Oryzias latipes: one gene and its partner. The protein of the gene in region 1 purifies or fractionates together with the protein of each later gene. This does not show direct contact. Links are inferred from orthologs where the notes say so. Each region holds a gene or a part of one and is shown on either strand. Other genes may lie near its edges.

Region 1 (4,288 bases):
ACAATGAAAAGAGGAGCCCTCCTCGTTTGGATTAAGCCCTAATCAGATTGGTCTGGAACAGCCTGCATGTTTTGAAACAGACGAACTGATTACATAAGTCTGATTTATGAGCTTCAGTTCCTATCTAGCCAAACATGCAAACAATAAATCTGCCATCAGATCAGCAAACTGGAGTATAAACACTAATCCTGTTCGGTTCAACACAAACAGAAGTTCAGGAACAGCTGCTCACCTGGTGGTTGAACAGCCGGTAGTGGGGGCATGGGACTCTCCAGTCGGGGAATTTTTGATCCAGTTTGTTCTGCAAATTTAAAATTAAAAAAATTAATAAAAAAAAAAAAAAACGGAACAAATATTTAAAATATTCTCTCTTGCAGATTTTTTCTGCGAAAAAACGAAGAAATTGTTTCACCTGGAGCCTTTGGTTCATCTTTAGGGGATGTCTGAAAGAATTTACAAAAAAAAAAGCGAGTTTACCATCTGACAGCTCGTAATGATGTTAAACAGCTGCTGCGTAGACGACTCCTGCTTACGTGGGAGCGTTTGAGCTGCCGTGCGGGACTGCCCCCCTGCGGCGACGTCTTTTTTGGCGGTGGGGGAGGCGGGTTGGAAACTGGGAGCTGCCCCTGCGGCACCGGCGACGCAGTGGGTGTGACAGCCGCCGTCTTCTCCTTCTCTTGGACCTGCTGAGGGATGGGCTTGTTCCCTTGAGAATATAGGTCCAGGATCTGGTGGCAGATGTCTGAAGGGACCAAAGGAAGCTGTGACTGAAAGCCCCACGTTTTTGAGGAAAACAATAAAGTTTTTTTTTTTTTTAACCTTCAAGCAGCTCAACTGGGACGTCCTGCACAAACTGCTCCCACCAACGCCGCGACGATTGCTTGGAGGTCCACTCCTGGATGTCAAACTTACAAAGTCGGCCTGCTAGGTACATGACGGCCACGGCGATGATCTCCGGCTCCCACTGCAGGGACAGCATGGTGCACAGGCTGCCAGGGACGCAAATAAAGCAGTGAAGGCCTTATCTCAACTGTGTAGATCGATTTATTCTAACTCAAACACACATTTAGCAACAACTACAAGATTCTTAAAAGCTCAATGCGAGAATCAGCACCTCTTACCTGTCATTGACGAAGGTCCAGGCCATTTGGAGCACCTTGCATACTTTGTTCTTGTCTCCTGAAGCACCAAAACAAAACATGAGTCTTTCTGAGCTCCATTGGGGCAGCGGTTCTGCACGAACCCCGTCCCACCTTTCAGCTGTTTGACGTAACGCAGCAGGAACATGTAAGGGTGCTCCACCTGCAAGTCAAACTTGATGGTCTGGAGCAAAATCCTCTCCAGCACCATCACCTCCTCCTGTTTGAACAAGGTCAGACATGACTGTCCTGCACTTCAGACTCACAGAAATGTGTGGCATGAAAGATTCAAAAAAAAAAAACTGTTTATTAAAATAGAACTGCACCTTCGGATCATCTCCAAACTGGGCGAACTGGACATCGTTGAGTAAACTGCGAGCTGTTTTAATGATATCTTTACACTTCTTTGGCGTTTCCTCCACTTTCCCAGCCAAGAAAAGACAACAGGCACCCGTCACCTGTAGAAACACAAACCCAAAATCCCACATTAGCTTTTGTGTTAATGAAAAAAAAAAAAAAATACCAAAAGAGTAAATAAATCATGAACATACATATCTGGGAAACTGCTTGAAGGAGTGAAACATGTAGAAGCGATGGAAATATATGATGCCAGTTGCAAGAGTGTCATAATGTCTGCTGGCAGTTAAGAATCCATTTCAGAAGGACAGAAGCATAGAAACAGTAAATCCCTCACCATAGGAGTTTACTTCATGCACAATAGAAGCCTTAAAATCGCCCAATCATGATAAACAAGTGAGCTAAATGTACAGAGAATGCATTCAAATAGCTGCAAACTGAGACCCGTTGCTCAGATTACTGAACCCATCGAGGATACAGGCCGAGTCGAGTCCCCACGTCAAAAATGAAGCGGGCTCCTTCTCTCCTGTACCGGGCCTCGGTCCCGGGGTCAAGACCCTCGGACTGGGAAGGGGTGTGGGCTAAATCCTTCTTGTCCCAGTACCAGCACGGCTTGATGTGATCCAGGAAGGACTGGCCGCCCGAGAAGTCCTTGGACTCCTTCATTGACTGAGGGGAGGTGGTGGATGGACCTGCTGTGCTGCTGGACTGCTGAAAATAGCAATAAATGTCGATATTATGGACAACTTTGGTCAGTCAGATGTAGCTCTTTCATTCTGATTTAAATACAATTTTGTATTTAAATGGGCCTAAATTTATTTAGAGAGTCGTGTAAAAACGTCCAAAAAATAAAATAAAAGCCAGAGATTCACAAATTAATAAAAGCTTAGAAAATGATCACCAGTGTTCACCGCTTTCTCTTTAATGATGCAAGTATATTAATAAATAAACCTAAAAATTGGGATTTTTTTTTGAAGAAAAAAAACAAAAACTCATAATGGGGGGGGGGGGGGGGGATGTTCCCAAAACATGCCGGCCAGTAAAGCGATGAAACTGAATGAATGTACCCGCTAACGGCTAGCAAAGCCGCCGGAGCCGACAAGCTACGATAAATAAGTCAAATTTGGAGTCACCGGACTCCGGCGGAAGGACGCAGCACGTACCTTTATCATGTAGGCGACGACAGGATTAACCGGAGAGCACAAACGCGACACGAGACTTCAGTTATTCACCCAAAGTTAGCGACAGATTCGAACAGAACACCCGCTGGCACAACAGAATCGCCATTTTGAAGAACGTCAAGTGCGGCTGACGGACGTCATGACGTCACAAGCAACCGCGTGCGCTGCTTGAAGAGAAAACGTTACCGTGTACTACGTAGAACCTACTGGAGACGTTTTGTTCCCGACAGTATCTGGAAGAAAGGCTGGACTGTGACCCAAAAATTTATGATAAATAATAAAATGAAAGAAGTTTCTTATAAAATAATTCACAAAATTTACCGCACCAATCAATTTATGCTAAAATACATTAAAACAATTGACCCTAACTGTACTTCTTGCAAAGAATTTCCAGAAACAATTGACCATCTTTTTTGGAATTGTACTATAATTAGAATATTTTGGAAAAAATGTTTGCAATTTATTAGAAATCGCATTCACCCCAACTTTAATCTAAAGTTTGAACATATAATTTTTGGCCTTCATAATAAAAATTTGGAGTCAAACAAAAAAACTCATAGTTAATCTTGTTATTATTTTTGGCAAATTTTATATACATACATTTAAATTTTCTCCATCTTCTATTTTTCCCTATTTTAATCAAACAAATTGAAATGTATATCAGTAACATCTCCAAGAGTCTTAATCAGAAAGCAGTATGTCTATATGAAAGTTGCAGAAACCTGAATGTTTTTATGTAAAATGTATTTAGTATGTATGCTCCCCTGGCATATCTGAATTTTATTTAGTAAAATTGTGTTTTGTATCGTACTTACGTTTTGTACAATAAAGTTTAAAAAAAAAGAAGAGAAAACGTTATTTAAATGTATAGAATAGCAACTTACTGCTTTGACTGCTCTTGTTTATAATCTTTTTTCGTCCTTTATTCTTTATGTTCCCCTGGCACATTTTGTTATTCTTTTTTTATCTGTGTACTTAAAAACTGACTTGATTTTGTATCCTGTACATCTTCAATAAAGTTTTGAAAGAAAAAAAAGAAAAGAGGAAACGCTACAGTAACACACTGGTGGAAAAATGTGATTTTTAACATCATTGCAGAGTCCAACTTTATTACCAATTGACCCAACTAAAATACAAATAGGTCAAATCTGTTTTTCTTCTTCACGTAACACAAATCGCCGCATGTGCTCACTCTTTCAGAAGGATGTTGTGTCCATTCCCTATGTACTTTATTGGAATAATTGAGTTTACCAATCATGGAAAAAGATCTGGAATCTACCAGAAAAATATTTCTTAACCAATAAAGTGAAAGAAATCTCATTTAAACTAATCCATAAGTCTACCCAACCAAACTGTATCTCCAAAGGTTCAAAAAGGATGTTGATGTCACCTGCTCTTTTTGTCAAGAACACCCTGAAGATGCTGTACATTTATTTGATCATGTCCCTTTTCCACTAGTCTCTGGTCTAAAGATTGCAATTTCATATCCGCCCACATTGACACAGACTCTATTTAGAACATGTTATGTTTGGCCTCACCCACTGTCCATCTCATAAAAAGAACAATCATACAGCATTAATCTCTTATTGTTTTTTTATACAAATTGCACAT
Region 2 (4,470 bases), on another chromosome or scaffold:
CAGAGCGCCTAAGCAGCACAAAAGGGTAAATAATTAAAAAAATTACAAGAAAAAACACAAGAACATTTATAGACAGTTTTAACAACCTTTCTCACTTTATTTCCAGAAATAAATCCAATGGAGGTCATAAAGATGACCATCTAAAGTAAAATCCAAATAATCCACTTCAGGAATAACTTGGACGAGGCAAGTGAAGGTCTAGATGAGCTCATGCTATAAAATTCCTTAGACCAGCAAAGAACTTACTCTTTCAGCCTCAAAAAAAAAAAAAACACAGAATGTTATCTGGCCTCAACACTAATTATTGAATATATGCTTTAAAATGTGGCATCTCCAGATTGTGATCAAAAACTTGTCTTTGACAGAGGAACAGATTTTAGGGTGTGGACCAATGCCTACAGTCTATGACCATTGGCAGACAAAAAGGGGTTAATTTAAAGCCCAACTCCTTCCACTGTTCCGACTGCTTTCCTTCTCTGCAAAAACCAGAGTCAGCATTTATTAGCAGCAGGACTTTAAAGACCCTACTCCCATAAAAAACATGTGTTTTGCGGGGCGGTTTGTGACACGTTCTTGTGGCATTCATCTGATGATGGACATATATTAAGGGGGGAAAAAAAGCTTAAAACTGCATTTGACCAATTCTTTGTCCAAATTCCTGTGAATCAGGAGGATTGTATTTGTGTCATAGAAAATACGCTAACGCTTCTGACTAAATCCACGTACGACTTAGTTTTCCTCGTCTGAACTGGCATCCAGCTCAAAATTGTAATGTTAGGTTGGGGGTGTGAGGGCCTGTAAGATACCAGGAGAGCGTGTAAACAGAGAACTCTCATTTATGGATGATGACAAGGGGGAGGGGTGGTTGCTCCACACCAACAATCCTGCTTACAACTACACCGTTTTTTTTTTTGTGGCTAAAAATGGCCAAAAGATGATCAGAGTGGGTCTTTAAAAGTGACGTTTTGACTTACCGAGACAACGGGCTGGTGCTGGAGGACCTCCGGGTACCGTAGGGGCTGATGGAGCGCCTTCTGGAGTAAGGGCTGCTGTCCCTCTCATAGCTGGAGGACCTATGTCTACTACCATAAGGGCTGTCAGATCTTTGTCTGCTGCGCCGGGACATGTCCCTGGTGGGACTGGGGCTTTGCTGAACCATTCTTCTCCTGGAATAACTGTCTTCTCCCTGTTGTCCGTAGTTACCGCCTAGTGGGCTCTCACTGCCAGGTCTTCTTCGGGGACTGGGTGACAGAGCAGAGCCCACTCCTTTCCTGCGAGAACTACCTCTACTTGAAGACTTGCCTTTGGGGCTTGACTTGTGACTCTTGGAGGACCGGCGGTGGGTCCTGTCTGTGCGGCTCCTCTGAGAAGAAGTGTGGCTTCCATCTCCTCTGCCTTCTCTGCGCTGTTTGTCTTTGCGGCCCTTCCCGGAGCGCCCGCTCTCCTTGCTGCGGGATGAGGATGTGGAGGAAGTGGTGCTGCCCACACTGGCTGCAGGCTGCACCTGGGCTGAGAGCATGGATGGATCCACACGTTTGAAGTCCCCTTCTGCCTGGAGCTGCTGTCTGGATGAGGAACCTAAGGCAGTGGTCTTATCTCTGCTCTTCAAGGAGCTCCCTTTCTCCTGATCTTTGCTGCTCCTCTTTTTGTACCCATGCTCCCCATTTCCAGGGTCCCTAACTTTATTCGGGTCCTTGGACTTCTTTCGGGGTGGCCTTTCTTCTCTACTCTCAATTTGTCTGTCTACTTCTAATTCTTCTCGATCGTACTCCGGTGATGGATCAAATCGGTCCACGCCCCCTCTATCAGAAGGTCTGGAGGACGGTGGATCTGAGAAAGTGTCCGAGTCCGAGCTGATATCATCGTACTCCACCAGAGGCTTCACCGTATTGACACCAGGAGGCGCCGTATCGCCGAGGGTAAAACCTTCGGTCCTCAAAGCCGCCGATGACTCCCGATTATGTTTGGTTGATTTATGCCGCTTACGTTTTGCAGACGAGGAGGAAGTCATGGAAGATTTGAACTGCAGCTTACCGTCTTTGCTCGTCATGTCTTCCTCAGAGGTATGGGCAGGGCCTTGGGGCTGGTGTAACACACCGCTGCTAAAATCCGGCTTCCTCTTGGTCCCATGATGTCGCTCCGACCCAGGCATACCTCACGCCGGGGTCTCTGCTGTTACCGGGCCTCGGTGATCCAGGCAATACATTCACAGAATAGTAGCGTCTCCAAAAGCCACAAAAGACTGATGCTATATCAAACAACAAAATGAAAGAAAAGAAATTAACAGCTCAAGACATACACACTCGTCCAGGCCGCTCAAGTCCAGTCCTCCTTAGCGCCAATTCATTCCTTAAGGTCACCAACTTGCTTCGTCAAGGCAAAAAGGATGTCGAGGTTGTTTTCCAGTGCCACGAATTCTGCACCTTCAATTAGTGAACGAAAAAGGTCCAAACCAAACATAGGAGCATTGTGGTGTTCGTCTCCGTCTGAACGTAGCTAGCACGGCTAGCTAATGGTCGGCAGCAAGAAAGCTGACTCGTAAAAAAGAAAAAAAATCCCTTTGTGAAAGCTGTCCTTGTCCGGTGCCAAGTTAAGTAAAGGTGTTTTATTCCACAGATTTACGGTCTCAGCTTTCAGAAACAAGCAAATGTCTTCAATAAAAGACGCCTGCTTCTCGAACAAACTGAAAACTTGACCCGGTTGGCTCTGTTTACATGTTCCCTTTAATGTAAGTTTTACCCCTTTAAAGTAAGTAATGATTCGAAATCATAGTATTTAAGTGTGCAATAATTGTTCCAGTTTATTATCAATGGCTCTGGAAATCAACCAGGCCTTTAGTTAGGGCGATGCTAGTGGATTTAGTATCATCCACAGCCCTATCTGAAGGAGACTACAAACGCCATTGTGGCTCCCGTGGCTAACAACGTCTGCGCACACATAGCAAGCAAACCGGAAGACGGTGCCTTGTCAATCTTGTACGTATCTTAGCAACAGCCAATCACATTCAAGCTCCCGCCTATTCGGTTTGATACGAGCTGCGACGACTCAAAACATATAAAAACTTGCTATTAAATTAAAATGATAGCTTTAGTTATATGACGTTCACTTATAAAGCCCGTAACATTTTAAGTAAAAAACAAAGAAAACCAATATTTCTTAGATAATTTCCCCATCAAGCCTATTTTCAATAAAAAGGCTTAAGTTTTTCGAGATTTTCCGATGGCTTTAAATTTAAGGACGCATATTGAAACTGTTCGAAAACTTTCGGTTTTCTCACATATGACCAAAGACACGAGTGTATTATAACATGGTTCACGGACCTCTTAGTTTGACTTATGTTATTTTATGTATTATTAATCGTCAGAAATAAAGGGCCGAAACTGTCATGTAAAACTTTATGGAGTCAAATATTAGAAACAGTCTCTGTACGCAAATAAAATCTAATTACATATTAAAGTTTCTGAACGAAAATGATTAAACATTTTTAAACAATAAATCACTATGATTCAAATAGACAATCTAAAGATTAAAAGAAATACAGACATTATTAATATCGTTTCATTTTGTTTATGTTTTTAGCTGCTGTCTTTCTCGACAATGATTGGTTGACAGGCTTAATACGTAATAGACTGTGAGTGGATCTGGATTCTGGTTAGTTGTATTTTTCAAAAGGGGCGTGTTCAAGAGCCAACGCGGAAGTACATTTTTTCCACCACACAATTATACCGTTTCAGTTTTTGTTTGCGTGGCCTTATAAAGTGTTCAAATACAAACTATGACATTATTATTGACATCCACAGCTTCTATGAATTATCCCTGAACCAGTTCTGTAACAATTTATGGGAAATAAAAGATCAGTGCATTCCTGTTTTCTGTCGTGTGTACCTTTTAAAGACGGGTAGGAACTTTTTAAACTCATTATCTTGGGATTAAAATAAAACGGTATAAATCGGATATGTATAAATATTACCCAAGCCCTGCCAGGCCAGGTATTTGTGCTACATGTGCTCGTTTAAAGGGTGACACCCCACACTGACGGATATCTTTGTGCTCGGCTCACACTGGGAGCTCTGGCTAGTAAAAGATCAGCAGGCGATCAAAGCAAACCCGTTTAGTAAGTAAAACAGCTGTCCTAATTTACGGAAAACCACGACTCAAAGCGACATAATGTATTATTTGCAAGTGAAATAGAAGAAGCGTTACAGTTTTAGGCAATTTGATCCCATTCCTGTCGTGCTATTGTGTGGATGGATCTAAAGCTGAACGGGGGAAGGAGGAGGTGAGGGCAAACCGAGTAGATAAGAAGAGAGGTGGCTTATTGGCTGGCTGTTGCTGCCACTAACTAACCTGCATTTATTTTTTTTTAATTTTTTTTTAACCAGAAATAAGATGTCTGGTTGTTTATATTACAGGCCGTGAGAGACAGCGACGTCGCGACCTGGGAACTACCGAGGGGGATATGATTATCGT

Evidence for each region.
Region 2: the proteins of ccnk (region 1) and cyclin-dependent kinase 12 purify together in Homo sapiens (affinity purification with mass spectrometry; 6 studies listed by BioGRID and IntAct, with this or other methods). This does not show direct contact. The link is inferred for Oryzias latipes from reciprocal best matches to the Homo sapiens genes CCNK and CDK12.

Annotation. Positions count from the first base shown.
Region 1 is NC_019882.2:3,583,498-3,587,785, reverse strand, and holds the start of ccnk (cyclin-K), read right to left. Parts: upstream 2,807-4,288; 5' UTR 2,669-2,806; coding exon 2,660-2,668; intron 2,208-2,659; coding exon 1,975-2,207; intron 1,773-1,974; coding exon 1,691-1,772; intron 1,598-1,690; coding exon 1,466-1,597; intron 1,360-1,465; coding exon 1,254-1,359; intron 1,180-1,253; coding exon 1,122-1,179; intron 990-1,121; coding exon 820-989; intron 743-819; coding exon 534-742; intron 444-533; coding exon 413-443; intron 302-412; coding exon 233-301; intron 1-232. UniProt on the Homo sapiens protein: Regulatory subunit of cyclin-dependent kinases that mediates activation of target kinases.
Region 2 is NC_019866.2:5,843,475-5,847,944, forward strand, and holds the start of cyclin-dependent kinase 12, read right to left. Parts: upstream 3,044-4,470; 5' UTR 2,153-3,043; coding exon 975-2,152; intron 9-974; coding exon 1-8. UniProt on the Homo sapiens protein: Cyclin-dependent kinase that phosphorylates the C-terminal domain (CTD) of the large subunit of RNA polymerase II (POLR2A), thereby acting as a key regulator of transcription elongation.